Elephas maximus indicus: one gene and its partners. The protein of the gene in region 1 interacts with the protein of each later gene in a pairwise test. Links are inferred from orthologs where the notes say so. Each region holds a gene or a part of one and is shown on either strand. Other genes may lie near its edges.

Region 1 (10,537 bases):
CTCCTGCTATGTGCCGGGTATGGGGGGACAGATGACGGACGAGACAGACACATCGCTGCCCTCGGGCCTCATCAGACAGAAAGTCGCTAAGAAGTGAACAGATTAATGAACAAGCCATTAACTAGCCTTGCTCTGTGCCAAGAGAGAAATAGGATCATAGGGTGGAGCATGACTGGCATGGGGGCTACTTTTGACAGGAGACACTGGGGAAGACCCTCTGAGGAGGGACCATTGAGCCTTCAAGGACAGGAAGGGGCCAGGACAAAGGTGTTCCAGGAAGAACCCCAGTAGAGGCAAAGGCCTGGAGGCAGGCATACTTTGGAGGCCAGTGTGGCTGGAATGGAGGGAGTAAGGGGTGAGGTCTGGAGGTACCAGGGTGGGGGCAGCGGGCAGGGGAGACACTTGTGATGGCAGAACAGCCCTGCCTGCAGACCCAGCTTCATCCCATCCCTCCCCACGCTCCCTGCCCTGGGGGCTGTGCACACACCGTAAATCTTAAAAGCGTAGTAGGCTTTGAGGTCACGGGGAGCCATCTCGCTCATCACAGAGAACATGTCCAGGAAGTTGTCAAAAGTCATGTGTCCGTCGCCATCCTCAGAGAAGACCTGGGCAATCCTCTGGCGGAAAGGGTTGTCCTGGGGATAAGAGGGAACCAGGGTCTCCAGGGGGCCACGTGGTCTCACTCTAAGCATCCACCTTCCCGGGAACTTCCACGTGTTCCCCCACCAATGTTCACTCCCTCCCACGGTCCCTGGAGAGGACTTCAGGCAACTTCACCCTCTACCTGTGTGGTCTGGGCAGTGTTGACCCACTTCTGGTTCCAGGGGTAGTACAGGACCCAGGGAAGGCCAATCAGAGCATTCCCTTTACCCGGCCACCATGATTGGCTCTGGGGTAGGCATGTGACCCAGACTGGCCAATGAAAGCCTGCCCTGGGACATTCTCAGGAAAATAGAGATGGATGGCTGCTTTCTGATGGTTGCGGAGCTGGCAGAGGATAGCATGGGTCACGGGGCAGGGGGCTCCCCTCACTATCTCAAGAGGAGAGGCTGATTGAAACTAAAGTCTCCTGGCAGGAAAGCAGCCAAGAAGTGGGAGGAGATTTCCGGGCACATCAAGATCGTGGTTCCAGCAGTACCTGAAAGTAGCCCTGCCCTGGATTATTTTTGTTTACATAAACTGATCTGTTCTGTCTCTCTTGAATGAGGTTTCTGTCACTTGTAATCAAATAATCTCAACTCAGTCAGTTACTAACCATACAACCCCCGTTCAGAGGCACAAATCATGGGTGAAACATCCACCTGAGAAGGACCTGCCTTTAACAGCTCTTTACTATGAAAAGACCACCATCTGTCAGTCACTTTGTTGTACTGTGGTGGCTTGTGTGTTGCTATGATGCTGGAAGTTATGCCACTGGTATTTCTAATACCAGAAGGGTCACTCATGGTGGACATGTTTCAGCAGCACTTCCAAACTAAGACAGACTAGGAAGAAAGACCTGGCAATCTACTTCTGAAACTTAGCCAACAAAAACTCTATGAATCACAGCAGAATATTGTCTAATATATTGCTAGAAGAGGAGCCCACTAGGTTGGAAGGCACTTGACCACAACAATGGATTCAAGCATACGAACAGTCGTGAAGATGGCACAGGATCAGGTAACGTTTCATTCTGTTGTGCTTGGGTCGCCATGAGTTGGGGGCTGAGTCAATGGCAACTGACAACAACAGCAACTCTGAAAAGAACTAACATTCCCTGACCACTTGCCACACAACATGCCCTTTACCTGTGTTATCTCATTCCATTCTCCCAACAATCCTGAGTTTGAATCCTGTCTCTGCCACTCTATGCTGTGGGACTTTGAACAAATGTCTTGCCCTCTCTGAGCCTCAGTGTCCACGTTTGTAAAAAGGAGGTCATTGTAGCACCCACCTCACAGGAATGTGTTACGGTACATCCTACTATTTTTTTTTCCCTGCTTGCCCTCTGGCCTGGGCGTACCTTCAGCTCAGGCATGCTGCCAATGAGCTCATAGGGCACCTTCACATCAGGGTAGCTGGTATAGTCGAGAGGGACGAGCTGGGGAGCCAGGTCCTGGTAGCGATAGAAGAGCCTAGTGTTGGAGGGAAACAGCAGGAAGGGCTGGGAGGTAGGAAGGGACATAGAACTCCACCCTCCTCTCTCATTATTGAAGCTACACACCCCACCTTGAAGAATGCTCTGCCCCCTGCCCCCCCAAGGGCCATCAGCCCTGGACCCAGCCCTTGAGCAGTCGGAGCCAGACACACACAACTCCACCTGCCTAGCACTACCTAGATTCTGAGGCCAGCTCGCCACTCAGTGCCCTCACCTGGTGATGCCATACTGTCATTGGGCATGCTGGGCAGCAGCCTTGTAGAAATCATCCTTCATGAGCCTGGGGCCCCCAAGCTTCTAGCAACTGTCTGTTAGGGGACACAAAAGCCCCTGATGGCTAGGTTCCCAGGCCTAGGGGAGCCTGGAGTGTGAGAAACATTCCAGGGAGTAGGAAGGGCTTCCTGGAGGTCAGGGCATTGGTGCTGGGCTTTGAAGTGAGAATAGGAGTTTACCAGGCAGATGGGATTGGCAGAAGGGAGGGTGTTTAAATCCTGATTTCACACCAAGCATTCAGAGAATCCGAGTTCATCTATGAATCTCTGGACATGTCACAGTGTCTGCAAGACCCTGCTTCTGAAGACCCCCATCTACATACCTCCCTTTCCTTCTTCTGTAACAGCAGGCTGGGTTCCCCCAACAGAGCATAGCAGAGCAGAGCAGAGAAAAAGGGCTCATGTGACCTTTCTCAAAAGGGCACAAGAAAGGCATTTTGGAAAACACCAGTGGAGGCCACATACACTGCCTCAGTTGTAAGACCAGCTCTCCACTCAGTGCCCTCAGCTGGTGATGCCATACCTTCATTGGGGCATACTGAGCAACAGCCTTCCAAAGGCCATCCTTGTTGAGTCTGGGGTCCCCAAGGCTCTAGCAACTGTCTCTTAGAGGGCACAGAGCCCCCTGGGTCATATAATGATTAGGAACTCACTGTGGGGGAGGTCTGAAACTTCAGTCCTAACCACCTAGACCCCTGCCTGTGTCCCTTCAGGGGACAGGCTGGGTTGGGGTTGCTGTGTGGCCTTGAGCAGGACTCTCTCCCCTTCTGGGCCTTGGTTAGTCTGTCCAAAAAAAGAGATGCTTGGGGCAAATGAACTGTTGGCCCTCTGCCCCTCTGCCCTGGGACTCAGAGTCAGCCCTAGCTAAGCCTCAGTTTCCCCATCAGTAATCTGATCATGATGGCCAGGGTGACCTGCGAGCTGTCCTCACCCAGACAATGGGACTTGCTGGCGAAAGGTGCTGCCATCAATAATGGATGTCCGTGCCCACACAATTGGGGCCTTGGCCCCGATCATGCTGCAGCCAAACCCTGGCCAGCTTGGGTTTCACAGCTCCAAGTTCATGGTCAGGGCCTCCAGACAATGGCCCCCCAGGCTGAGTGGTGACATGCCTGTACACCCTGGGCTCATGCCAGAGCCCTGCCTCAGGCTTGGGCCACCTCCCTGCTCTTGCACCTTGATGCCAACCCATAGCCCAGACCTGGCTCTGGCCTCCTGCTGGAGCTCCCAGCCTCCAGTCTCAGCCTCCACACACTGGCCTCCGAGGAGTCTTTCTTACACACTAACCGACCATGTCTTCTCCTGCTGTGGCTCCCCGGCACCCTTGGGAGAAGCCCAAGCCCACCAGCCTGGAAGCCACTGTAACATGATGAGATGGGACTTCTCAGCCTCCCCCCTCTGCCTCCTCCACTGACCATGCCTCCACCAGCCACCCCACATCAGCACTTTAACCTTGACGCAAAGCATCAAGCCAGTCAAATTACAAATATCCTCCAGAAGTGAGTAGTAAGTTGTTTCCAGGTCATAAGTGCTAATATGACAAGATGCAACTTCTCGGCCTCCCCTTCTCCGCCTCCATCCCCTGACCGTGCCTGTGCCACCCCCTCCCCACCATTAGCACTTTAACCTTGACAATGAGCCTGTCAAATTCCAAATCTCCTCCAGAATGAACAGAAAGGCGTTTCTATGTCTTCCCTCCTTCCTCACCAGACTGACCTCATGATCTCCTTCCTCGTGAAGAAGGTGCAGTCCTGTGGAGAGAGATGCTGGCTCAGCCCAGACCCTACTTCTGGGACTCACTTTCTCTTCTGCCAGCTCTCACCCCTCGGTGTCGGATGCTGCACCCAGAGCCGCACCATGAACCCAGGACGCGAGGATGCTGTCCCCATGTCTCAGGCCAGAGAACTGAGGCTGCCAAGCCCACCACGGGCCCAGCCCACTCCCTACCTGGTAGGCTTCCAGCTGCTCACGACTGAAGACCGTCTGCTTGTTGCCCATGGCGAGCACCACTTCCAGGCCCCTGGAATGAGTCCCCAAATTTTCTGGGTCTTCTCAGGGCCGGACGGGCTGCCAGGCTGCTGCACACCAGTGTCTGGGCAAATAACCCTGCCCTGCCTGTCACCTGCCCACCTGCCCGTCACCCCCAGCCTGGGTGAGACTCAAGTTACAGCAAGCTCTCCGGGCAACCACCTGAGTTTGTCCCCAGCCACCGGGGCAAGAAGGGCTGTGGGAGGTCACAGAGCAGCCCTCAGTGGGGGACCATGTCCATCACCACTAGGTGAGGCTGAGGATTTGGGACATCTTTGAGGGACAAGCAGGGTGGCAGAGAGGCTGTGGGTGCATCCTGGATCAAAGTCCAGTTCTCTGCTCACTAGCTGTGTGGCTTTGGGCAAGTTGCTTGACCTCTCTGAGCCTTGTAGGTAAAATGGAAATTTATTAGTACCTACCTGTTTTGGGGGGCCCGGAAACCTGGTGGTGTACTGGTTAAGTGCTACGACTGCTAACCAAAAGGTTAGCAGTTCAAATCCACCAGGCGCTCCTTGGAAACTCTATGGGGCAGTTCTACTCTGTCCTATAGGGTCGCTATGAGTCAGAATCGACTCGACGGCAACAGGTTTAGTTTTTGTATTTTTGGTTATGGAGGGCCCTGGTGGTGGTGCAGTGGTTAAGCATTTGACTGCTAACCAAAAGTTGGCAGTTCAAATCCACCAGCTGCTCCTTGGGAACATTATGGGGCAGTTCTACTCTGTCCTACAGGGTCACTATAAGTCAGAATCAACTCAGTGGTAACGGGTTTGGTTTTTTGGGTTTCACTTGTTATGTATTGAGTTACGTCTCCCCAAAAATATGTAGTGGAATTCTAACCCCTATACCTGTGGATATAATCCCATGTGGGAATAGAGATTTCTCTTATGTTAATGAAGTCGTATCAGTGTAGGGTGGGCCTTAAATGTAAAGACTTCTGAGATATAAAAAGAGCAGATTAGACACAGGGAGAAGCAAGCACAAGTGGAGAAAACATAGATGCCACGTGGAGATCACCAAGGAACTGAGGAACAAAGCTGAAAAGAGACAAGGACCTTTCCCCAAAGCCCACAGAGAGAGACTCTTCCCTAGAGCCAGTACCCTGAATTCGGACTTATAGACTGCTGAACTGTAAGAAAACAAATTTCTGTTCTTTAAAATCACCCACTTGTGTCTCAGGGAGCATCTAGGTCAACTGGCATAACATAGTTCATAAACAAAATGCTCTCCATCCTACTTTGGTGAGTAGCATCTGGGTTCTTAAAAGCTTGCAAGTGGCCACCTAAGATGCATCTCTTGGTCTCATCACGTTCAGAGCAAAAGAGAATGAAGAAAACCAAAGACATAAGGAAAATATTAGTCCAAAGGACTAATGGACCAGAAGAACCACAGCCTCCACCAGCCTGAGCCCAGAAGAACTAGATGGTACCTGGCCGCCAACACCAACTGCCCTGACAGGGATCACAGTAGAGGGTTCCAGGCACAGCTGGAGAAAAATTTAGAACAAAATTCAGATTCACCAAAAAAGACCAGATTTACTGGTCTGATAGTGACTGGAGGGCCCCCCTGAGACTCTGGCTCCCAGACACCCTGCTAACTCAAAACTGAAGCTGCTCCCAAAGTCCACCTTTCAACCAAAGATTAGACAGGCCTATAAAACAAACAAAAACAAAAGTGAGGAACCTGCTTCTCAGTTCAATCAAGTATACGAGACCAAATGGGCAACACTTGCCTAAAAGCAAAGACGAGAAGGCAGGAAGGGACAGGAAAACTGGATGAATGGACACTGAGAACTCAGGGTGGAAAGGGAAAGGGGAAGAGTGCTGACACATTGCCGGGATTACAACCAATGTCACAAAACAATTTCTGTATACAATTTTTGAATGAAAAACTAATTTGTACTGTAAACTTTCACCTAAAACACAATAAAAACAGAACACCATCCACTTGTGGTCTTTGTGTTACAGCAGCTCTAGGAAACTAAAACATCCCTTTTCCTTGAGAGTAGGCAGGATCTAGTGACTTGCTTCTAACCAATAAACAAAAAAAACAAAACCCGTTGCCGTTGAGTTGATTGAGACTCATGGCGACCCCATGTGTGTCAGAGTAGAACTGTGCTCCGTAGGGTTTTCTTGGCTGTAATCTTTATGGAAGCAGATCACCAGGCCTTTCTTCCACAATGCCACTCCTTGCAATATTGAACACCTTCTCATCCATTCTGTGATACACACTTCCTTACATTTTAACCCTTCCATGACCGTTGGAATATACGGTTGCCCACCCACTTTTTCCACCTCTTGGGTTCATTGGGAGCCTGCTTTCCCACTGACAGTGCATGCTGCCACAAGGCAGGGGCCTTTATGACTGTTTTAAACTGAAAAAATGGGTGTGTGCTGCAAATAATCGTTTCTATAGGGTGTTGTATGAGGTGTGTGCATTTTTGATAGGAGAAAGAAAAATTTTGAAAATTTTTCTTTGAGACACCATATGTCTTTCCGGACTCTAGGGAGCATCTGGGGTAGAATTAGTGGGACAATGTATGTCCCTCAGGACTTAGAGGGTAGGATTGTTGGAGGGGGTGGAAAAAAAAAAACCCCATACTACCTACCAAAACTTCATCAACACTCATTGATTCAGCATGCTTCCATTAATGAAAACACATGATATCAACAAAAAGTTCAAAGCAGAAAATATTTTGGGTCTTGAGATTAATATGTCTAAAATCAAAATGCATCTCATAAGTACTGTTGGCCCACTGTCCCTGCCTGCATGTGCACACATATTAAAAGCACCAGCTTCCAAACTCACAGAATGGAAGCCAATGGCTTGGAAAAAAATCCCCTAGGATGTAGAGGGTGGAGGTGTGTGGAATCACATGTGCTTCACTACATCCCGCAAGTGCTTGATGTCATTGCAAAGGTGGCTGGAAACCCCAGCCCCAGTGGCACTTAGTTCTTTTTCAGATTCTTTTTTTTTCCTAATAAACTTTTGATTTTGGATTAATTTTTTTTTTACAGAAAAGTTTCAGAGAATTCTCGTATACCCTTCATCCAGCTTCCCCTAATGTTAACATCTCACATGACTGCCACACATTTGTCATAACTAAGAAGTTAACAGTGTTACAATACTGTTAACTAAATTCCTGGGAGTCCCTGGGTGGCACAAACTGTTAAGTGCTCAACTAGCCAAAAGGTTGTTGGTTCGAACCCACCCAGAGGTGCCTTGGAAGACGAGCCTGGCAATCTCCTTCCAAAATGTCACAGCCTTAAAAACCCCATGGAGCACGTATGGGGTTGCCATAAGTTGGAATCAACTGAACGGCAATTAGCAACAATGACAACTAAATCCCAGACTTTTTGTGGTCTGAGATATTTCACTAGTTTTTCCAGTCATGTCCTTTTTCTCTTAGAATTCCATTCAGGATCCAGTGTTGTCCGGTCCTGTGCTGTCCTCACAATTGTTGGCTATGCTTGAGCCCATTGTTGCAGCCACTGTGTCAGTCCATCTTTCTCTTTTTCACTGACCCTCTCCTTTAACAAGCATGATGTCCTTCTCCAGGGACTGATCCCTCCTGATAACATGTCCAAAGTATGTGAGACGTAGTCTCACCATCCTTAAGAAAGGATGGAAAACCTTCAACAAGATGGATTGACACAGTGGCTGCAACGATGGGCTCAAGCATAAGAAAAATTGTGAGGATGATGCAGAACGAGGCAGTGTTTCGTTCTGTTGTATGTAAGGTCGGAACCAACTCAACAGCACCTAACAACAACAACAAAGCCATTAGCCTCTCCATCACCATCTGATGAGTCTTCAGCTGTGTCTGAAATACCACCTGGGGTGTCATCTGAGTCATCCCTTGGCTAAGTCATTGCCTGGGGCATCACCTGAGGCAAATGCCTTACAAGACAATGCTGAATGTTCTCAAAACACATCCCCACCACCTATTTTGGCTTCTAGACCTATAGACTTAAGTCCAAGTGAGCCCCAAAAGATAAAGTTCAAAATGTGACCCAGGAGGAGATATGCTACACTCCAAAAGAACTGTCTGACATTTCTAATATGTACAAACAGGAACCTGGGGAATATGTGTGAGAATGGCTATTAAGGGTGTGGGATAATAGTGCAAAAATATAAAAATGGATCAGTCTGGGTTTACTAATATGGGCCCACTAAGCACAGATTCTCCATTCAATGCTTCACCTTGAGAAGTTAGAAAAGGATCTAATAGTTTATTTGGTTGAGTGGCTGAAACTTAGATTACATGGTGGCCTACACTAAATCAAGTTGAAGTATCAGTCCCGCCTTAGTGTACTACAGAAGAGGATATGCAAAGACTTAAGGAAATTGGCATGTTAGAGTAGATTTATCAGGTTAGAGCAGCAAACCCACACATGGAGTGCCCAGAGGACACACCTTTTACCACAACAATGAGGAACAAATTTGTGAAGGGTGCCACAGCATCCTTGATGGCTGCTGTGATTGCTATTTTATGTAAGTCAGATTTGACAGTGGGAACTGCCCTAACTGAATTAAGACAGTTAATTACAATGGGGCTGATCAGACCACTTGGTGGTAGGGACCAAGTGGTGACAGTCAATCAACCAAGACAAGGGTATGATCACCATGATGGACAATGGAGTCAAAGCAGTAATCAGAATAGTCTAACTCGTATGAACTTCAGGCATTGGCTACTTAGTCATGGCGTTCCTGGGAGTGAGATAGATAGGAAGTACACTAAATATTTACTTGGTCTGTACAAGCAGAAGATTTCTAGGTCAAGTGAACAGCAGCATAACGCAAATCACCAGAATAGAGAGTCACAGCCCGTCAACCAATTCCCAGACTAAAGCCAGTTTACAGACCCACAATTCCTTGAATGAAGGCCAGGACCCCTTGAAGAAGGACCCAACAATACTGCAAAAAAATTTATACCGTTAATCTTTCTCCCAGCCTTCCCCAAAGGGATCTATGGCCTTTTATGAGAGTGACTCTTCACTGGGGAAAGGAAATAAATCAGTCTTTTTGGGGATTACTGGATAACACTAATTCCAGGAGACCCGAAACCTCACTGTGGCCTGCCAGTCAGAGTGGGAGCATATGGAGGTCAGGATATTAATGGAGCCTTAGCTCATGTCCATCTCATAAAAGGTCCAGTGGGTCCCTGAGCCCACCCCATAGTGATTTCCCCAGTCCCAGAATACATAATTGTAATAGCTATACTCAGTAACTGGCTGAACCCCCACACTGGATCTCTGACAAGTGGAGTAAGGGCTATTATGGTAGGAAAAGCTAAGTGGAAGCCAATAGAACTGCCCCTACCTAGGAAAATAATAATCCAAAAGCAATACCATGTTCCCGGAGGGGTTGCAGAGATTACTGCCACCACCAAGGACTTGAAGCATGCAGGGGTGGTGATTCTCACCATATCCACATTCGACTCACCTATTTTGCCTGTGTAAAAAGCAAATGGATCTTAGAGAATGACAGTGGTTTATTCCAAACTTAACCAGGTGGTGACTCCAATTGCAACTGCTGTTCCAGACACGGTCTCATTGCTTCAGCAAATTAATACATCTCCTGGCACCTGGTATGCAGCTGTTGATCTGGCTGATGTCTTTTTCTCCATGTTTCAAAAGACTACCAGAAGCAGTTTGCCTTCAGTTAGCCAGCCTAGAAGTATACCTTCAGTGTCCTACCTCAGGCCTATATCAACTCTCCAGCCCTATGTCATAATTTAGTCCACAGGGACTTTGATTGCCTTTCCCTTCCATAAGACATCACGCTAGTCCATTACATTGATGACATTATGCTGATTGGACCTAGAAAAGAAGAAGTGACAATGACTCTGGACTTATTGGTAAAACTTGTATGAGACCAAAAAAAAACCAAACCAAACCCACTGCCATCGAGTCAATTCCGACCGATGGCGACCCTATAGGGAAGAGTAGAACTGCCCGACAGGGTTTCCAAGGAGCGCCTGGTGAATTCGAACTGCCAATCTTTTGGTTAGCAGCGGTAGCTTTTAACCACTGCACCCAGGTTTCCATTTGCATGAGAAAGGGTGGGAAATTAATCGGACAAAAATTCAGGTGCCTTCCAC
Region 2 (9,858 bases), on another chromosome or scaffold:
AGGAGCTCTTTCTTTTGATTAACTCAACTTTCTTATCCCTAGCTTGGAAATCAAGGCTTAATAGCCAGCTCTGGATAGCAAACCAGTATGATGAGAAAAACAGTACTGATGAGAAATGCAAAATACAGGTCTCATTTAAATTTAATTGAGATCATAATTTGTTAAATCATTTCTGAGGATAAGCCACATTAGGCCATTTTTAAAAATCAACTACCCCCAAAAAAGAAATACAATGGCCTGTATGTCAAAGGAAATAATGTTCTTGTTTGATTTCTCATTGATTTAATGATCACTGTGGCCATCTGGAAACCCTGGTGGCGTAGTGGTTAAGTGCTACAGCTGCTAACCAAAAGGTCAGCAGTTTGAATTCACCAGGTGCTCCTTGGAAACTCTGCGGGGCAGTTCTACTCTGTCCTATAGGGTCGCTATGAGTCAGAATTGACTCAATGGCAATGGGTTTGGTTTGTTTTTGTGGCCATCTAGACTCTTAAGAGAATTATTCTTTCTGGATGGTCAAGTTTTCTAGAGCTGCACTTCCTAACATTGTATCCAACAGCCACATGTGTTAGAAAAGGCAAAGTTATAGAAAATCTCATCATGATAAAAAATTCTAATGCACAGTATGGGCTACAAAAACTTCAAAGCATTCTACTAATAGTTTTTCCACAATGTAATTAATATTCATATGCACACAGGATAAAATACAGATCAGAATTTAGCATTTTTTCTTACTTTGGACAGTTGTTCCCAAAAGTCAGTTGTAGGTTAAAAAAAAAAAGGCAGTTATAGGTAAGAATCATTTGAAAAGTTTGTTAAATGCAGATCACTTAGAGAGAACTCCTAGAATGCTCACAATGAATATCCTAGGTAATTCTGGAAGTTTCTAAACCACATTTTGAGAAACACAGTGATTATGTATTAAAAATGCAATTACCAGTTCACCTATTCTAATTCTGCGGCTCATGAGATGATCAGAGATAAGAGACCTGATTTTCTTGTATTAATATGTGTATAGGCAAACCCTTGTCTCTCTCCAAAAGTACAAAATGTTTCACAAAGGCAAAAGGAGCTTTCAAAGTATAGTAGATCTGAAGAATGAGTACAGATGAAAAAAAATTCAAGGAGGTAGTTGCGCTAAAAACAGAACTAATCTTTTAAACAGAATATTGTAGAATATCTATGCAGAGTAGAAGCTATCTGGACATTTGACTCTGGAACCCTTAGACTCTGGGAATAACTCTGAATCATGAGCTAACGTGATGCAGCTGCTAAAGACCTAAATATTGCATATGAGTGCTAACTATGAACAAGGCACTAGGCTATGTGCAGAGTCGAGTAAAATATACTTTATGACTTCAAGGAACTCACAGTCTAGTGGGGGAAGACAGACAAAAAATAAGTTATTGTAATACAATAAACCAAAAACCAAACCCACTGCAGTTGAGTTGATTCTGAATCACGGTGACTCTACAGGACAGAGTAGAACTGCCCAAAAGGTTTCCAAGGAGTGGCTGGTGGATTCCAAACTGCTGACCTTTTGTTTACCAGCCCGAGCGCTTAACCACTGCGCCATCAGAGCTCCACCGTAATACAACAGCAAGTACCATCTGGGTTGAATCTTAAAAGCTGGGTAGCTCTAGGGTTGCTAGAGATATAGAAGAATGGCAATTAAAATGGAGAGAACAGCATGCCCAGTGAGTAGGGTAGAGAGAGGGCAGTGTAGTTGGAGAGAAGCGTGTAAAGGCATTCTGGATGGTTGAGATAAGACTATGGATGGCCCTGATACCTATTTAGAAAAGTCCCAAAATCCTTTAGGCTTTTGAGGAGAGGAATGATATGATAAGATCTGCATTTAGGAAGAACATTCTAACAGTTAGGCAGAAAATGGACTGCAGTGGGAAAAGAGGAGATGCTGGGAAGATGTGCTATGCTTGCCCATTTGGTTGCATGGAAGAAAAATTACACCTTGGTTGGCAATACTTCTTGCAAAAAGCTAAAAATTGAGAGAGAAGCACCTAAGAAAAAAGCTAAAAATCTGAAGAAAGAACATGAGTAGTGGTAGTGTTTAGAAGCCGCTGAGGATGCGATGATCCACCTTGACTGGCGATAGAGAAGACTACCAGTGATGAGTGTCAGAAGGAAAGTAAAAATTTTCAGCAGTCTGTTGAGCAGGCAGCTCTACACTATCTATGCCTTCTAAAGGCACGGACAATGGGATATCTGCTCTGGATAGCACATGAATAGGTAAATAGCTTCCTCGTTGCAGTGCCCTTAAAGATATAGAGCATATTACATAATAGTTTAGAGTGTGGGCTCTGGAAACAGACTTCCTGTGATCAAATCCAGATTCTGCAACTTACTAATTGTGTAACCTGGTAGGCAGGTTACTTAAACTCTGTGTCTCAGTTTTTTTAACCCTAAAATGGAAATAATACTACTACCTACCTCACAGGAGTGCTGTGAAGGTTGATGAGTTCATACATATAAGGTATTTATAACAGGGCTGGACACACAGTAAGCATTCAATAAATGTCAGCTATTTTTTTTATTTTTATTATTGCGTGTATGTGAGGGGGAGGGGCACACACACTTAACTGTGCTATGCTCAATAACCCTTCAAGGCATCAGTGCTATATGTAAGGGATGTCAATCAATATAATTTAGAAGCCCAATGGGCATCTGCAATATACAGATGCAGAGACAACATGCCTTACCTCTTATTCATAATGAATATCTCAAGTTCTTCCTGGAAAAAGGCAGACAGGAATAAGTTTTTAAATTTGTAAATATTCTCGGTGATCCCCTTAAGTAATCAAGTGCAAGCCAGCTCCAGCATGCTACTGGCTAGAGTATAATGACCCTTACATCCCCATCCATAAAACCAGCCCTTCACTCCCTTAAAACACATTCAAAGGCATACTGAAAGGAAAAATCATTAAGACAACCCAACTTTAGCTCCCTGAACAATCAGAACCTGGAAATCATCTCCCTCTCTAATTTCTCTTGGCCTGAAACACCAGACGGCAAAAAATGAATTATTTTGCAGACGAAAGAATTTTCTTTAACAAATCAAAAAATGCCAATTTCTTAAAAAGCCCCAATAAGCTCTTTTTCAGTTGTATTCAGAGTGCTTATTCCCAGAAAATGGAATGGAGTGAAGGGTGTTGGCCAGAGCTTCCAACTACATAGGAAATTTGCTACCTGAAACCAAGTTTAATATGGAGCTTTTTAATCATATGCCTTGTTTGCCCAGTTTTCCTCCCTTTAGCCCTGATCCAATTCCCCAAGTCCCCTCCTGTAATTTTTTCATGTCAAATTCTATTGAAGTTCAAAAAACAGTGAAGACACCTTCTATCATCCTCCTTTCCTTTTTTGCTAGAAGAATATAAGGATAGCTTTACTTTAAAATCTGTTCAAGTATAAAGATAGCATCCCAAATAAGGATAAATTCTAATTACACGGTATCTGAGACAATATATCCATCACCATCATCCTAAAAGTCCCATAAACAGGTCACACAAAGCTTGCCTTAGCTCCAACTCTTTTTCTTGACAACATTCTCAAATATTCACCATCAAATGCTAAAGAAGAGTTGCTACGGTGTCAACATCTAGTCATTTCCCCAGTAAAAAAAAAAAAACCAGTGCCATCGAGTCCAGTACATGGGATAAACCAAAATAAAAAACCAAACTCGTTGCTGTCGAGTCAATTCCGACTCACAGTGACCCCAGAGGATAGAGTAGAACTGTCCCATAGGGTTTCCAAGGAGTGGCTGGCTGGTGAATTTGAACTGTTGACATTTTTGGTTAGCAGCCTTAGCTTGTAACCACTAGTCTAATAATTCAGATCTAAAAATGACCCCATTCATGAATATGTTCCCTGAAGAGGTTTTAAAGAAAATTTTACCAGAAGTAATAATGTAGGTTTAAACAGTAAAATACATTCTGTCCCCTTCTTCAGTGGGACAGAATGTATTTTTTTTTCCTTTAAAACTAATGAATTTAAAATTGAGAAACCACTTGAGAATTTTAAAAGATGGGAACGCTAGTGTCCTTTTTTATATACAGATAGAAAGAAAAATGTGCAACTGAGCTGGCTGCTTAATTCAACACTATATATTTTTTCCATTGATTTTGATAAAATATTCTAATTTAAAAACATATAACACTTTATATCATGGCCAGTATTTTTAAAATACACATATTTTATGAAAATAATCTTATAAATCTATTGAGCAGATATTAAAAATATCTTATTTTAGATGGAAAACATTACATATTAACCTTTTGGATTAGACATTATTTTCCTTTCCAATAACTTCACAAGGCTCAACTCAGCTCATTATACCAATTCCAAATACCAGTGCTTTCTATATATCTGTAAAACTAATTTGAAGAGCAGTCACATATTAAAATATATGTTGGGTTAAAATGGTTTTGAAAAAATCCTGAGTCCTATCAAAGAATATTTTCTTTTTAAGTAATTGAGTGAACTTAGTCTTCTTCACTAGTAACTTAAGTCAAATTTACCCTGGACCCATCAATTCAGAGGCAACCTGGTGTAGATTCTTGAGTCAAGAAACCTACCAGTTTGGGTACTGCCACTTACTAGATGTGAGACCTTGAGCCAGTTACTTAACCTCTGAGTCTCAGTTTTCTTACCTATGAAACGGAGATCATAAAGCCCCTGACCTCACATGAGGTTGTGATGAGGAAGAACTGAGAAAGCGTATGTTAAATCACTATGTAAATGTTTTATACCACGTCCACTATGAGTCAATAATCAACAACTACACTGTAAGTAAAAATTGTCTTCTAATAGAGTAAAATCATGAAGGAGTTAAACATGTATTCACTATTAGCATACAAATAAAATTCAGTCATAAAAGCCACCTAGTTGGGTTTGATATTCATTAGATTAACCTAGAACTGAGAGATGGCAAGGAGATAATGCCACTAGTTTTTAAAACATAAACACTTATATGTTGGCATAGAGAAGTTCTTTCCAGATGTAGTAATTCTAGTAACATAACAAAGTCCAACATTTTTCAATGCCAGGAACATAAACCAGTAACACAGATCCATGAGAAGCCTCTAATTATTGAACAGATAATATTTTCCATGAGAATATATCTATTTACTGTTGTAATGGAGAAAAAGAGACATTCTCTAGTGTTAACCAGAAGAGAAAAACCTCAACAACCTCTCACATTAAAATGTACAGAGTTGGCTCTTCTGGAGTCAAGTATGCATTGGAGTATGGAGAAAACATCCAGCAAGCACAACTCTCCAACACTTAGCAAAACAAGCCAACCGATACCCAAAGAAGAAACTGAAGCTATAAATTCAAATAAATGGGCTGCAGGGAGACTACACAAACCTGCTGTTGCTTTAATTGCAGACAATTCAATTCAGCAGCTGTTGGTCCAGACACTAAGGTTCACTGTATGCTCTTCAGCATAACCTTGAAATTTGTCACTCACTCACTTCTCCACATCATCTGTATGCTGTCCAATTAATGAAGAGCGAAATCAACTGTCAAATTACCCATCAAAACAGAATATGATCTTGTAGCTCCTAAGGACAGGAGCACAATATTTTAAGGCCAATAAAGTGAGACTGAAGATGAAAGTCCTTCACAATACATGATATTTAAACTTATCAAAACATGTGGTTGTAGGAACTAAGCTACTGTTCTATTGAGCAAGAAAGTGAAACTTTCTCAGGATTTTTCATTTGTAAGGGTCCTTTCTGTCTTTGTAACTGCTGTTTAAGAAGGCTTTCAAAAAACATTCACCAACACCTGATCTGAGTCTTCAAGTTCTTCATTCTTATGGACCAATATATTTCTGAAAGCTTAACAGAATGCTTAAGGGATACTTCTGGTCCAACGGTATTTTACGATACAGATGGTTTGGAGCTGGCATGTTTAGCCTTGCTGTTTCCAGCACTTTTTCTACCAGCACAGTAAATAAACAACAATAATAGATAACGTTCACCAACCTGAGTTCAATAATGAAATAAAAATAAATTTGTCCAACAGACGAGTTCTGGAGTGCTTTCTATTTGAAGTTTCCTTACTCTAAACTATATCCCAAATCCAGATAACCAATTAACAAAGACAGGAGTTAAGAAACTCAAGAGCGACATAATACACTGTTTTAAAAATGCTCTTTGCTTCCATAGCGCTGTGTGTCTTCTGTGCAAGCACTTTTAAGCTATATCACATACTACCAGTTGCAGACATAAGACTTTAGAAATTCAATACAAGAATACAGCAGAGAAGCATGCACAATTAAGGGAGCAGGACTACCAATTTACCAGAAAACCCAGATTTTATACAACAATCTGCTACAAACATTATAGCTAGGGGCAGGCACGGTTTGTGCAGCTATTTTGTTTAGCTCATTAGAACCCTATTTGTCCTTCAGTACAGTTGAACTGGAGGAAAAATAAGAGTGAGAAATGCACTTTGAAACGAAAAAGAAATTTTGGATAAAAGAAGACATACTATACCTGTATATTGTACCAGGAACATTGTGACACTCTTCAGGGAACTGTTTCACGTTGTAACCTATTGCAAGTTATGCTCCCTTTACTCTCTTCTCCCCACAAAAAAAAATCCAGAGCACCCCAAACCCTCACTACATACTACCCATAACCCACACCCCCATTCAGGGGGGAAAAAAAAGCCAGCTACAATTCAGCTCAGATCCGATGCTTCTGTTTAGCTCAGCTCCAGCCGAGTAACTGAGCTCTAACAACGGAGCATAGGAAGGTGGATTCTGATGCCAGTAGCACTTCCATCCACTTCACTTACACAAAAGCAGGCAGTGGAAAATCCAGGAGCCTTGAAGACAAGGGCTGGAACTGGCTTTTATGAATTGCTATTACTGCATGTGTCACCATCCATCTCCAATGACGGACACTTATAGGCTGAATTGGGAGTGGAGGGGGTGGGGTGGAGGAGGTTGGAGAGCAGGTGGAGAAGCAATTAGCAGTATGTTCATCTGAGAATTCGTAAGGGATTTCATACATCAGTGCCTAAAGAAACAGCGTGCTGTTGACAAATCAGAACTTTACGATTTGCATGCCTTAGAAGAAATCTTAGCTCGCAGCCCCAAACAAAATAATGCTTGCCCACTCTGACAGGGCATACGAAGTCACCCCTCCACTTTCTCTTTCCTCCCAGCCACGCTTGTTCCTGCAAAATCAACATTCAGAATGAGTATTTGCTAACTTTCCCTAAAGAATTGTATTTAAAAGGTTGGAAGCAAAGGAAGTATAAAGAAATTAAATTCTATTGAACATGACATCTCTTAACAAAAAGGCAAGAAGCTAATTATTTTAAGCCAACTTTTCATCCCTAGTCCCATTCCCCAGGTGTAGCTTTCACACCTATAATCAGTGGATCACACAACTTTTGTGCATGTGTTTAACACTGAGAAAAATCTATGTCTGCCTAAAAATAGTTCCGTTAAAGTCAAGGTGAAAAGCTAAGAGGTGTGTGCAGGACTCACTTGACAGGTGACCTTAGAGAAGGCACTCATCTGCTAAACTGAAGCACATATTTTTGTAGAACTATTTCAAAATTAATCATGAGTAGGAGCAAAAAGGAGATAGTCTTTTAGGCAGGAAACGATGCAATTGAAAGAATACTGTGGCTGGGTATCAGGAAACCTTGGTTTAGCTTCCAGTTCCACAACTTTCTGTGTGACCCTGGGTGAGTCACTTAAGTCCTCAGAGCCTAAGTTCCCTTATTTATAAATTGGAGCTAACAGTACCTACCCTGACTGTTCCACAAGATTGCTATAAAGAGCCAATGAGCAAATGGATATAAAGACCCTTTTTAGCAAACTGTAAAGGGCTATATATAGGATTGTATGGGATTACTAGTATTGTTGGTAAAGTAGAGGATCAGCGAAAAAGAGGAAGACCCTCAACGAGATGGACTGACACAGTGGCTGAAACAATGGGCTCGTACATAGCAATGATTGTGAGGATGGCGCAGGACTGGGCAGTGTTTCATTCTGTTGTGCGTAGGGTCGCTATGAGTTGGAACTGACTTGATGGCACCTAACAACATTATTATTATTCCCTCAAACAAATTTTGCTTGAATGACTGATGTCAGGCATCTCAACCACATATGGAAAATTAAAAGAAAGGGCCAATATTATTTTATGAAACATTCTCCAGTTCCTCAAATTTTAAAATCAGAAGGAATCACTATTTGCTCCTAAAATTCCATAGGGGCTGAACTTGTGAAAAGAAAAAATTTAAAATCTAGTATATATCAAAAGCTTATTAAAGAGACTGAATCCCTCTAATTCCTTCTTTACTTTCTGGAAAGTCAGCCTATTTTTCTTTGTGTGGTCTAGTATTATGTCTCATCTAGTTGAGAATGCAAGTTTATTGGACAATGAGCATCTCCTTTTGTTAAATCTTTCTATTAACCTAGTACATCCTTACTGCCCAGTGTGTCAGGAAGGATTCGGGTTGATTAGCTAAATCTAAATCCACAAGGTAAAAAATCCAAAGTCATGCTTTATGAGGCTCTAAGCTGCCTTGATACTACATATACTGTGATCAGCTGGCTCCAACTGGGACACAATTTTAGCACATGAAGTCCTGGGGTGGCTACACCTGGGGTACTAAAAGATCCAGGCAATGTTTGGGGACCTTTGGTTCAGCCAAATCCCATATGTTCCGATGTCCATCTGTATGGTGCGCACCCATGTGCCTGTTCACATGGGCCAAATCTGAAGCAGCCAAAATAAAGGTGGGGGCTATAGCAGAAATATCAGATATCAGTTCCCCTTGGCCCTCTCCCATGCCATCTGTGCCCTCAAACAAGTTCCCAGCCCACTCCTTGTGAGAAGAAAGAAAACGTTTCCCAATTTCCCCTTGAACTTCACTGTCATTACTAAAAATGCCACACACACACACACACACATATATATACAAATCTATGTTAAATTAATGGGGGAAATGGATAATACAAATGATGAAGATTTCAGTGACTAGTAGCTACCAGCAAGAGAGTCAATGAAAGAGGGAAAGGCGAGGATGGAGAGGATTCACTTGCTGGGACCATCCACAAGGTTCTTCTAGAAAGTGCTTGTCTTTCCAGGTACTAGGAATGGCCCTTTTGCCACCACAGCTGCAATCCTAGCCTTCCAGCTGCGTAGGTAAATAGTCAAGAGCTTGGAAGGGTATTGACAGCCCTAGCACCAGAACTTGCTTTCCTTTGGGATGAGGAAAGTCAGGGAGGTGGGATACAGTTCTCCAGAGGCCTCGTCCCTGTAACCCTCCGCCACAGCCTTACTTGGGGCATGGGTGGCCACTAAGAAAGGTGACAGCTCAACTGTAGGTTCAGCAAAGGAGGATTGCCTGAGACTTTAAAAACCATATTGGTAAGAAAGGAACAAAGGCTGTATTTCAGAATCAGGTTGTTCTGCCTCTGAGCATTGCAAGTAAACTCCTCCACAAATTTAAGCTTGAAATTCATATTCCCCAAGTTCTTCAGAAGGGTCATTCAAACTACAGGGAAAAGGACAGGGAAGAAGATTTTTTGTTAGCTTTTTTTCCTCACAGTCAAAAAAAACAAAAATGAGGATTATATCAAGAACATGATTGACAGAGTGTCCCAAAAGGCAACGAGGTGGGAAGCAGGAGTTGCAACTCAGATTAGCAAGAATGAGAACGAAAGCATCCGAGCATCCTGATAAAAACACGCACACAAACACACACACCAAAAACCTGCAATGTTTCCATTATCCTGATTTCAAGCTCCAGATTGTAAGCACTAATGGTTCCCTAAACCATCCAGGCTTCTTTTCAGCAGCCGTCACCAAGCCT
Region 3 (9,637 bases), on another chromosome or scaffold:
GCCTCATCCACTTCCAGAAATGGGCATAACTTCCTCTGCTCCTCCAGGAAGCTCCACTCTGCCCGCCCCTTCCCGCCCGAGGGGCCGGCCCGAAGCTCTCCGTCGCCCCAGCTCCACCCCAGCCTCAGCCTCCCTAAAGCTTCCGGCCAGAGGGGAGCTACTGGGGCCGACAGTTTTGATTTCCCTCTATCGGCCCTGCTGCCGTTCCCCCTATTGAAGGGTCAGCCGGGCGCTCAGGCCACCGTCCAGCCCTCTAGCACTCACTCCCTGCCCCCGTCCAGCTGTCCCTGTGCCCCCTCCGCCCGGGCGCTGCCCTGCCCCCACAGCCGCCAGGAAGGACGCGGCCCGGGGCCCGTGCCAGGCCTCTGAGTGTGCGGCCCCGCCCAGCCGGGCCAGGAATGCGGCTGGACCGCGGGGGCGGCCGCAGACACCCGGCGCTCCGGCCAGCACGACACCGTCCCACAGGCAGGCAGGTGGCCCTAGCTCCCTTGGGCCTGGGTTTCTTCCAGAAGGAAAGCGCGACGGCCTGCCCCTGGGGGGCCGCTCAGTCCAGCCACTTAGCCTGGTGGCTTTATTTCGGAGTTTGCCTCCCAGGTATCCTACCCCCTGCCGGAAGAGAGATGTGAGACGGGGGAGTGGATTTCATTTTTTCAGAACTGGCTGGAGTCTCCCTTTCTTTCAGCATTTTCCTGGAGAGCTGTCTGTTCGTGCTCCTTGGAGAGGCTCCATCCAGCCTCGTGCTTTTATTTCTGGGCCATCTCGAAAACCCTCTTTAGCCCTCCAAAGGCACACAGGCTCCAGGTGGGGACTAGATTTCATTTTAAAAAGTGGCCTGGGGAGCCCCACCCACCCACCCAGTACACACACATACACACAGGCACATCAGAGAAACCTGGCTGAGTGTGTTCTGGGGAGCTGGTCTAGGGGGTCAGTGACCAGATCTAGATGGTTTGCTTTCTGGACCAATAAAGCAGTAGAACTTATAGTTTGAAGTCCACCTCCTCAAGTGACAACCTCCTGGAGCCTCAGTTTTCTCGTATGTAAAATGGGGGTATTAATAATGCCCATCTTATGGGTTTGTTATAAGGATTAAATGCGTTAACACGTGACAAGTGCTTAGAACTGTGCCAGGCACACAGTACATACTCAGTAAATGTTGTCGTACACTAGCCCAGACACAAAGAAAACACAGGCTTGAGATTTCCCAGGGCTGGTTTTAATTTCAAAAACTAATTGGGGTCTCTTCCCACATCAGGGAAGAAGTATCCCAGGCGATGACCCCAGGGGATTCAGTCCAGCACTGGGCCTGGTCCACCCACATTCCAACCACCAGGCCCTGTTATCCCATCACTAGGGCCAAACCTGGACTCCCCCTCCTGCCTGAAAGGGGAGGACGGATGTGAAGTTGTCCAGGACTGGATTTTGTCTCTCCAAACTGGCCCGTGCCCCTCTGTCTGTACCAGAGAAGCCAGCTGTGTCTGTCCAAGGAGAGCTGGTCCAGCCACCAGGCTCAGTTCAGCCACAATATAACCCTCCCAGCCCTGGGGGTCAGCGCCCCGGCCCTGGCGGCCGCTCCAGTGCCTGTTTGCCCACCAGCACGTCCATGAGGTAGTCCAGCTCAGCCTCGTCCAGCTCTGGAGTCGCCTCCTTGCCTGCACCCTCTACAGGGCCAGGTTTGAAGCCCTCAGAGGCTGGTGCCCAGAGTTCGCTGTCGTACATGGAGGTGTCGATGTCCTCAAATAGGCCCTCGAGTCCATCATCCAGCAGACAGCCAGTGGCTGGGCCCAGCAGATCCAAGGCACCCAGGCTGGGCGGGGCTCCCCCAGTGGGGCGGCCTAGTGGCCCCTCATCGGCCAGGGGCTGGGGGGCTTGGCTCAGGCCCTCAATGTGGCTGAGGTCCTCCAGAAGGCTGGCCATAGAGGCTGAGAGGGCAGCGTCTGAGCTGGCCAGCAGGCTGTCAGCCACTCCAGGGGCTACAGGTGGGCTGGGCACAGGTGGCAGGGCAGCCGCAGGTGCCATGGATGCCTGGATGCGTCGCAGTGTGTTCACAACTAGCACCAGGTGCCGCAGGTCCGGCTCACTCTGCCGCAGGCTGTGGTGGAGTTTGAGCACCGAGAGGTCAAAGAGGGAGCTGGAGGCCACGGTGGGGGGTGCCTGTGCTACGTCTGGGTGACCAGGATCCAGCCACCAGGCATCGACTGCCAGGGTTTCCTTCTCCTCCTCCTCCTCCCGCTTGCGCTTCAAGCCCTTGCTCAGCATCATCTATGGGGAGGAAGGAGTCTTTCAGTTATAGAAAGCAAACGTTCAAATCCTGGCTCTGACAATTGCTGACTGTGTGGCTTTGGGCAAGTCACTTAACCTCTCTTAAGTCACTTAACCTTAGGGAACTTTTCACATATGGTATTCACCTCATAGTTTTAAGGGTTAAATGAGATACAAAAAGGCTTACAACAGTGACTGGTACACAGTAATTACTTTTATTAACAAGTACTCTTAGAAATAACTATTATTTAGTTCTTCATTGAACTATATAAAATGGTCATTATCCAACTTTTTTTTAACTTACAGAAGTGGTTGTTTCACACAGTTAAATCTGGTGTTTACTGAATGCCTACTTTGTGTCAAATACAGGAAAATTACCAATAGTGCTAGGAAGACACTTAAAGATTCATGGTAGGGGGTGGTCAGGGAAGGGTCCTCGAGGAAGTGACAATTGAGACAAGAAGGGGTCAGCCATGGAAGAACCATGGAAGACAGAACAACAGCATGGGCAAAGAAAGGCCCGGAGGCTGGATAAGCTTGGACTGAAAAAGACTGGTGTGGCTGGTGCACACGGAGTGGGATGGCAGGCGATGAGGTGGGGGCAGTAGGAGGGGCCAGGTCACTGACGGCCATATAAGACAAGGTAAGGAGTTTGGCTTTCCTTGTGTGTTGGGAAGTCAGCGAAGGGTGTGCGCAGGGAGGGAAATGGTGTTTTCAGAAGATCCTCACAGGAACTGCAAGGAATAGTGTGTGTGTCCCGAAAAGCCACAGGCAGGCGGCTGTAACTCTTTGGGGCAAACGAAGGTGGCTGTGGACACGGAAGGAAGTTGACCGATTCAGGATATATTTGAGATGCAGAGCGGGGAAGACTTGCCGGGAAATCCTGACTGGGGAGTGGAAGCGCGTGGGGGGCGGGTGTGACAGAGAAGTTTCAGGACCCAGATCCTCCCCAGGTGGATCCCTGGATTTATGGACCCCTGGCCCGACTGCTTTTTTGACTCAGGCAGTTTGCAGGATCCATCCCTGGGGCCTTTGCCGAGCAGGACCTTAAGAGCGACCCCCATCCTATCCAAGACTGGGTCCTCTCCCTCTGTCCCACAGACCCTGGAGTCCGGAACCGCAGGAATTTAGCCCCCACCCCCGGCTCCGCCTCCGGGGCCCCGGCGCCCCCTAGCGGCGCCCAGGCCCGCATTCCCTCGGAGATTTCGGCCCCTCCGAACCCAGGACCCTTTACACCGCCCCGTGTCCGGGCTCTCGTTCCTGCCTGGCCCCCAGAGCCGTTCCGGCGGGCAGTTCTGCCCTCCGGGCCTCTTACTCGCTTCCGGAAGGCAGAGGAGGCGGCTCCTCCCGAAGCGGCGGCGGCGGGGGCGGGTGAGTCACGCAGCCGGAGCCAGGGAGCCGGCGCCTCCGCCCCCTTTTCGGGCTGCGGCGTGATTCACCCGGCCAGGCCAGGCGGGCGACACGTAGAGGCCCGTGAATCTAGATCTCGGGCAGCCCCGGCGCGCACCTGCCGGACTCGGGATCGAACCCTCCTACAGACCCCGCAGCCGGTTCTCCTTCTCTCCCCCGGTCTCTTCCCTTCATTTACATACCCAGTTCACCAGCTGCCAATCAGAACGAAGAGTTAGCCGCCCGCAGCCAATCAGGAAGCGGCGGCCGCAGCATCGCTCGCTTGCTCCGCTCCAGCAACCGGCGCCTAGGTCCGGAGACGGGGTTCTGACTCCGGCTCACAACTCCAGACTCCTGACTCCTCTTAGCTCCCGCCTACTTCCGTGGCGGCCCCACCCTCTACCTCACGGATTGGCCCTATGCGGTGGTGGGCGGAGCCTGTAAGGGGCAGGTTGGAAGGGAGGGGAGGTTAGCTTCAGAGCGCATGTTCCGGCGGCTGCGGGAGAGAAAGAGGCGTGGCTATTTGCCCTGAGGGATTGTGACGGGGAGGGGCTTTTGCGTATCGAAGTGCAAGCCCCTCACACCTACCCATGCGCCTGCTAAACCCAGCCCTTGAGTTCTTACCCACCCAGCTGCAACAGGGGTGTGCACGCTAGGCCTGGGTGCAAATTCTGGCTTACCACTCACTCATGCATGACATTGGAAAAATGCTTGACCTCTCTGAGCCACACACAGTTTTTTAAATGGGGCTCGTCATGGCTACCTCTTGAGAGTTGTGCTGAGAACTCGCGTTTCTAATAAGTTCCCAGGCGATGCTAATGCTGCTGGTTAGTGACCAATGCTGAGAACCACTGGTAGAGCAGTGGTTCTCAAAATTTATTATACATAAGAATCACCTGGGGAATTTATTAAAATATAGATTTTGATTTTTTGATTCAGTATATTTGGGGTGAAAATGCGAATTCTCGGCAGAAGTTCCAACCGGAACAACTGGTTTGAAGCCCTGCACTGAAGTCCTGGACTGCAATCCCTAAGTAGCTGTGTGACCTTAGGCAAATGTTTTAATCCCCAGAGTCTCAGCTTCCTCATCTTTAAAACCGGAGAAATAACAGCGTCTGGCTCTGGAGATTGTTTTGAGAATTAAACGATTTGTGCAAAATGCTCAAAGTGGCATGCAACATGTCCTTTTAAAGCAGTTGTAAATGAGCCCTGGTGGCGCGGTGGTTAAGCGTTCCGCTGCTAACCAAAAGGTCGGCGGTTCCAAACCACCAGCCGCTCCCGCGGAGAAAAATGTGGCAGTCGGCTCCTGTAAAGATTACAGCCTTGGAAACCCTGTAGGGGCAGTTCTACTCCGTCCTGTGCGGTCACTAAGAGTCGGAAACCACTGGATGGCAGGGCTTTTTAATAGCAGTTGTGGGAATAAAACCGAAAAATCCAAACCCAGTGCCGTCGAGTCGATTCCGACTCATAGCGACCATATAGGGCAGAGTAGAACTGCCCCATAGAGTTTCTGAGGAGCGCCTGGAGGATTCGAACTGGTGATTCTTTGGTTAGAATCCGTAGCACTTAACCACTAGGCCACCAGGGGTTGTGGGAATAGCACAGACCGTTTCTTCAAAGTGAGGGGACACGTTGAGGGGGGTTAAAGGTAGACAGGAGTTGAACTGACAATGGAATTTACCTTCTTCAGGTAGCTCATTTGCTAACATTTTAGGGGCTATGGGAAGGATTTTTTTTTTTTTTTTTTGGGAAGGATTAGGTTAACAAAAGCCCCCTGCTGTCGAGTCGATTCCCACTCATAGCGACCCTACAGGACAGAGTAGAACTGCCCCCACAGAGTTTCCAAGGAGTGCCTAGTGGATTCAAACTGCTGACCTCTTGGTTAGCAGCCAAAGCATTTAACCACTACACCACCAGGATTACATTAGTTACTGTAAATAAAGCTCCCAGCCAACGTAAGGAGCCCTGGTGGCACAGTGGTTAGGAGTTTTGCTGATAACCATAAAGGGCAGCAGTTCGAATCCACCAGCCTGCCCTTGGAAACCCTATGGGGTTGTTCTACTCTGTCTACAGGGTTGCTGTGAGTCAGAATTGACAGCAACAGTTTTTTTTTTTTTTTTTTTTTTAATGGGCCAAAGTAAGTGCTCAAAAATGCTAACTATGGTAATGGATTCAGGCAGGGATTATCAATAGATGCTCAAACCTTTAGAGGAAATACCGGCAGAGAATGGGATCCAAAGCATCACCCCACGGGTTACTTGCTAACTGCAAAAGGGAAAATATCCTTTATGGTGGAGAAATCTGCCTCCCTAATAGTGGGACACACTGACACTGGGTACCACCTGATACCGTGCACCAGGAAGCACACACATCCCCTGTGGAGTCTTCCTGCTACACTGCATAAGTCGAATCTCATCCAGCCTCTAGACCCAACATCCAGCTTATAGAGAACAGAGAGGAACAAAATAAACACAAACACAATCAGATGGATCTAGACTGTGGGACATTCTATAGAACAACTGGGCTGTTCCACCTGCAATTCCATGTTAAGAAGACCCAAAAAGGGAAGGGGGGATTGTTCTAGAATAAAAGGTACTGTGTAATTTCTTTTTTAATTTTATATATGTTGTTGAGAATATACACCACAGAACATACACCAATTCAACAGTTTCTACATGCACAATTCAGTGACATTGATTACTCTCTTCAAGTTGTGCAACCATTTTCACCCTCCTTTTCTGGGTTGTTCCTCCCCCATCACCATAAACTCACTCCCCCTAAGGTTCCTGTCTAATCTTTCCAGTTGCTGTTGTCAATTTGATCCCTTATAGATAGCTCTTATAGTGCTCAAGGCAGGCATTTTTTACTACTTCAGCTAAACTATTGTTTGGTTTTAAGAAGACTTTAGGGGATATTTTTGGTTCAAGGTTTAAAGATTATCTCAGGGCAATAGTTTCAGGGGACTATGTAATTTCTTTATTACAATCAAATTAGCATGCCAACTTTCATTTGAAAGAAAAAAGAAAGCAGCTATAAAAGATATTATTAGGATAATTGGATAAATTTGAATACGAGCTGGATATAGGTGATACTATGGAATTGCTAATTTTCTTAGGTGTGAGGTAGTATTGTGGGGAGTAGGTAAATATTCTTAAGAGGTGCCTTGCCTGCTGAGCTATTAAAAAAAAGGGGTAGAATATCACCAGGATCTCTGAACTTACTCTCCAATGGTCCAGCCAAAGAAAAACTATACATATATCCATATGTACATAAAGCAAACAGCAAACTGTTAACAATTATTAAGCCTAGGAAGGAGGGTATTCAGGTGTTCAGTGTGTTTTTTCCCTCATAATTTTCTATGCCCTTGAATTTTTTTTTAAGTAATATTTTATTGTTTTTGGTGAAAGTTTACACAGCAAATTAGGTTCCCATTTAACAATTATTATGCCAATTGTTCAGTGACATTGGTTACATTTCTCACAATGTGTCAACATTGTCATTAATTCCATTCTGGATGTCTTATATCCAGTAACTTGGTTTCTCTGTCCCCTTACCCTTTCATCTTTGCTTTAGAATAACTGTTGACCACTTGGTTTTATATAGATGATTTTCATAAATTTAAAATTTTTCATAAATAATAATAAAAAGAAGCATAAAATGCTATTTAGAATCAGGCAGGCCTCTGCTAGGCAAACTCACGTAATTTCACCCACAGCTCATTCTTATGGCCTGGGAAAAAGGAGGGTCAGACTTTCCAGGTGGCTTTTTTTTTGCTCCAGGTCATACACTGAAGAAGAATTCATAGGAATCATTTGATTAACATGTATTTATTGAGCCCTACTATGTGTTAGAAACCCTGGTGGCATAGTGCTTAAGTACTACAGCTGCTAACCAAGACGCTGGCAGTTCAAATCTGCCAGGCATTCCTCAGAAACTTTATGGGGCAGTACTACTCTGTCCTATAGGATCACTATAAGTCGGAATCGGCTCAATGGCAGTGGGTTTGGGTGTTCTTTTTTTTACTATGTGTTAAAGAGCCCTGATGGCACAGTGCTCAGCTGTGAACCGAAAGGTCAGAGGTTCCAACCTGCCTGCCACTCTGAGGGAGAAAAATGTAGCAGTCTGCTTCCATAAAGATTACAACCTTGGAAACCCTATGGAGCAGTTCTACTCTGTCCTAGAGTATAAGTCAGAAACCACAGGTTTTGTTAGTATGTGCTGGCACTGTTGTAGACCATGGAGGTACAGCACTGAATAAGTGTCCACAGTCTCTACTCTCACTGGTGGAGGTAGAGGATAGAAAGAGAAAATGAACACTGTAACAAAATGTTGTGGATTGATTCCTGTCCCCCAAAAATATTTGTATCAATTTGGCTAGGCCATGATGGCCAGGATTGGGTGATTGTCCACCATTTTGTCACCTGCTGTGATTTTCCAATGTGTTGTAAATCCTACCTCTATGATGTTAATGAGGCAGGATTAGAGGCAGTTATGTTAATGAGGCAGCACTCCATCTACAAAATTAGGCTGTGTTTTATGCCCATCTCTTTTGAGATCTAAAAGAGAGAAGTGATCAGAGAGACATGGGGACTTCATACCACCAAGAAGCAACAGCCAGGAGAAACAAGAGTGTGTCCTTTGGACCCCGGATCCCTGTGCTGAGAAGGTCCTCGGCAGGGAAAAATTGATGATGAGGACCTTTCCTCCAGAACCCGACAGAGAGAGAAAGCCTGCCCCTGAAGCTGACGCCCTGAATTTGGACTTCTAGCCTACTAACTGAGAGAATAAACTTGTTTGTTGAAGCCATCCACTTGTGGTATTTCTGTTATGGGTACACTAGATGACTAAGACACAAATGCATTCATTTATTCACCAATATTCATATATTGAGTGCCTACTGTGTGTCAGGGAGTCCTGACCACCAGCTGCTCCAAGGGAGAAACACGTGGCAGTCGGCTTCCTTAAAAAGATTGCAGCCTATGGGGCAGTTCTACTCTGCCCTATAGGGTCGCTAAGAGTCGGAATCCACTCGACGGCAAGGGTTACGGTCTATCAGGTACTGCCTCGAGGCACTGAAGATATAAAGAAAAATCCCTGATGGGAGGAGGTACTCTTATGAAGGTGATAATGAAAGGGGAAAGAAAAAGCAGAGAAGAGAAACGAAAGGGTGTTCAGGCTTAGACGGGTATTGGTGGTGGTGGGATTCTCTGCTGAGGTGACCGCTGAGCAAAGCCCTGATGAAATGAAAGCAGTGCGAAGCTCTGGAAGAAGCAAGTTCCAGGCCGAGAGGCGAGCGGTGCAAATGCCTGAGGTGGCCACGTGCTGTTTGCAGGGCAAGAAGGCCACTGTAGCCGGACTTGAGCTGCAGGAGAGGCCAGTGGAGTTAGCAGGTAGGTCTTCTAGGCCATTCTAAGCACCTTTGGGAAACCCTGTTAGTGTAGTGGTTAAGTCCTACGGGTGTTAACCAAAGGGTCAGCAGTTGGAATCCGCCAGGCGCTCCTTGGAAACTCTATGGGGCAGTTCTACTCTGTCCTATAGGGTCGCTATGAGTCGGAATCGACTCGACTGCAGTGGGTTTGGTGGTTTGGCTTTAAGCACCTTTGGTTTTTATTCTGAGGGGATGAGAAGACCCTGGAAGAGGAATTAGGAAGATAATTTCTGCTTCTGCTCAGTGGCTTGAAATAAAATAGGACAGGATAACAGAGCGACCTAGGGGAGATGCCTGTAGCCAGGCGGGTCGTGGAGGGCCTCCCTGAGGAGGTGACATTAGAAATGAGCCCAGAAAGAGAACCCGTTGCCGTCGAGTCGATTAAAGAGAGGGAGCCAGGGATTCAAAGGGCTGGGGGAAGGGCGAAGGGGGAGAGGCCTGGCTTTGAGAAACGAAAGCAGAAGCAAAGGCAGCAGGCCCGGCAGGCCCGGGGAGGAGCCTCCGCCAGCTGAGCGGGCGGGGGTACGGGCGCCCCGTCCAGCCTCTGGGGAGCGCGGA

What was found.
Region 2: the proteins of CIB3 (region 1) and ENOX2 interact in binary tests that used the Homo sapiens proteins (3 or more experiments, as listed by UniProt). The two-hybrid records come from large-scale screens. The link is inferred for Elephas maximus indicus from reciprocal best matches to the Homo sapiens genes CIB3 and ENOX2.
Region 3: the proteins of CIB3 (region 1) and SERTAD1 interact in binary tests that used the Homo sapiens proteins (3 or more experiments, as listed by UniProt). The two-hybrid records come from large-scale screens. The link is inferred for Elephas maximus indicus from reciprocal best matches to the Homo sapiens genes CIB3 and SERTAD1.

Annotation. Positions count from the first base shown.
Region 1 is NC_064821.1:36,409,733-36,420,269, forward strand, and holds the start of CIB3 (calcium and integrin-binding family member 3), read right to left. Parts: upstream 4,408-10,537; coding exon 4,357-4,407; intron 4,161-4,356; coding exon 4,126-4,160; intron 2,115-4,125; coding exon 2,003-2,114; intron 636-2,002; coding exon 488-635; intron 1-487. UniProt on the Homo sapiens protein: Acts a an auxiliary subunit of the sensory mechanoelectrical transduction (MET) channel in hair cells. Plays a role in regulating hair cell MET channel localization and function.
Region 2 is NC_064846.1:25,302,493-25,312,350, reverse strand, and holds the start of ENOX2 (ecto-NOX disulfide-thiol exchanger 2), read right to left. Parts: upstream 3,959-9,858; 5' UTR 2,715-3,958; intron 1-2,714. UniProt on the Homo sapiens protein: May be involved in cell growth. Probably acts as a terminal oxidase of plasma electron transport from cytosolic NAD(P)H via hydroquinones to acceptors at the cell surface.
Region 3 is NC_064829.1:111,231,402-111,241,038, reverse strand, and holds SERTAD1 (SERTA domain-containing protein 1), read right to left. Parts: upstream 4,004-9,637; 5' UTR 3,855-4,003; intron 2,263-3,854; coding exon 1,549-2,262; 3' UTR 1,195-1,548; downstream 1-1,194. UniProt on the Homo sapiens protein: Acts at E2F-responsive promoters as coregulator to integrate signals provided by PHD- and/or bromodomain-containing transcription factors. Stimulates E2F1/TFDP1 transcriptional activity.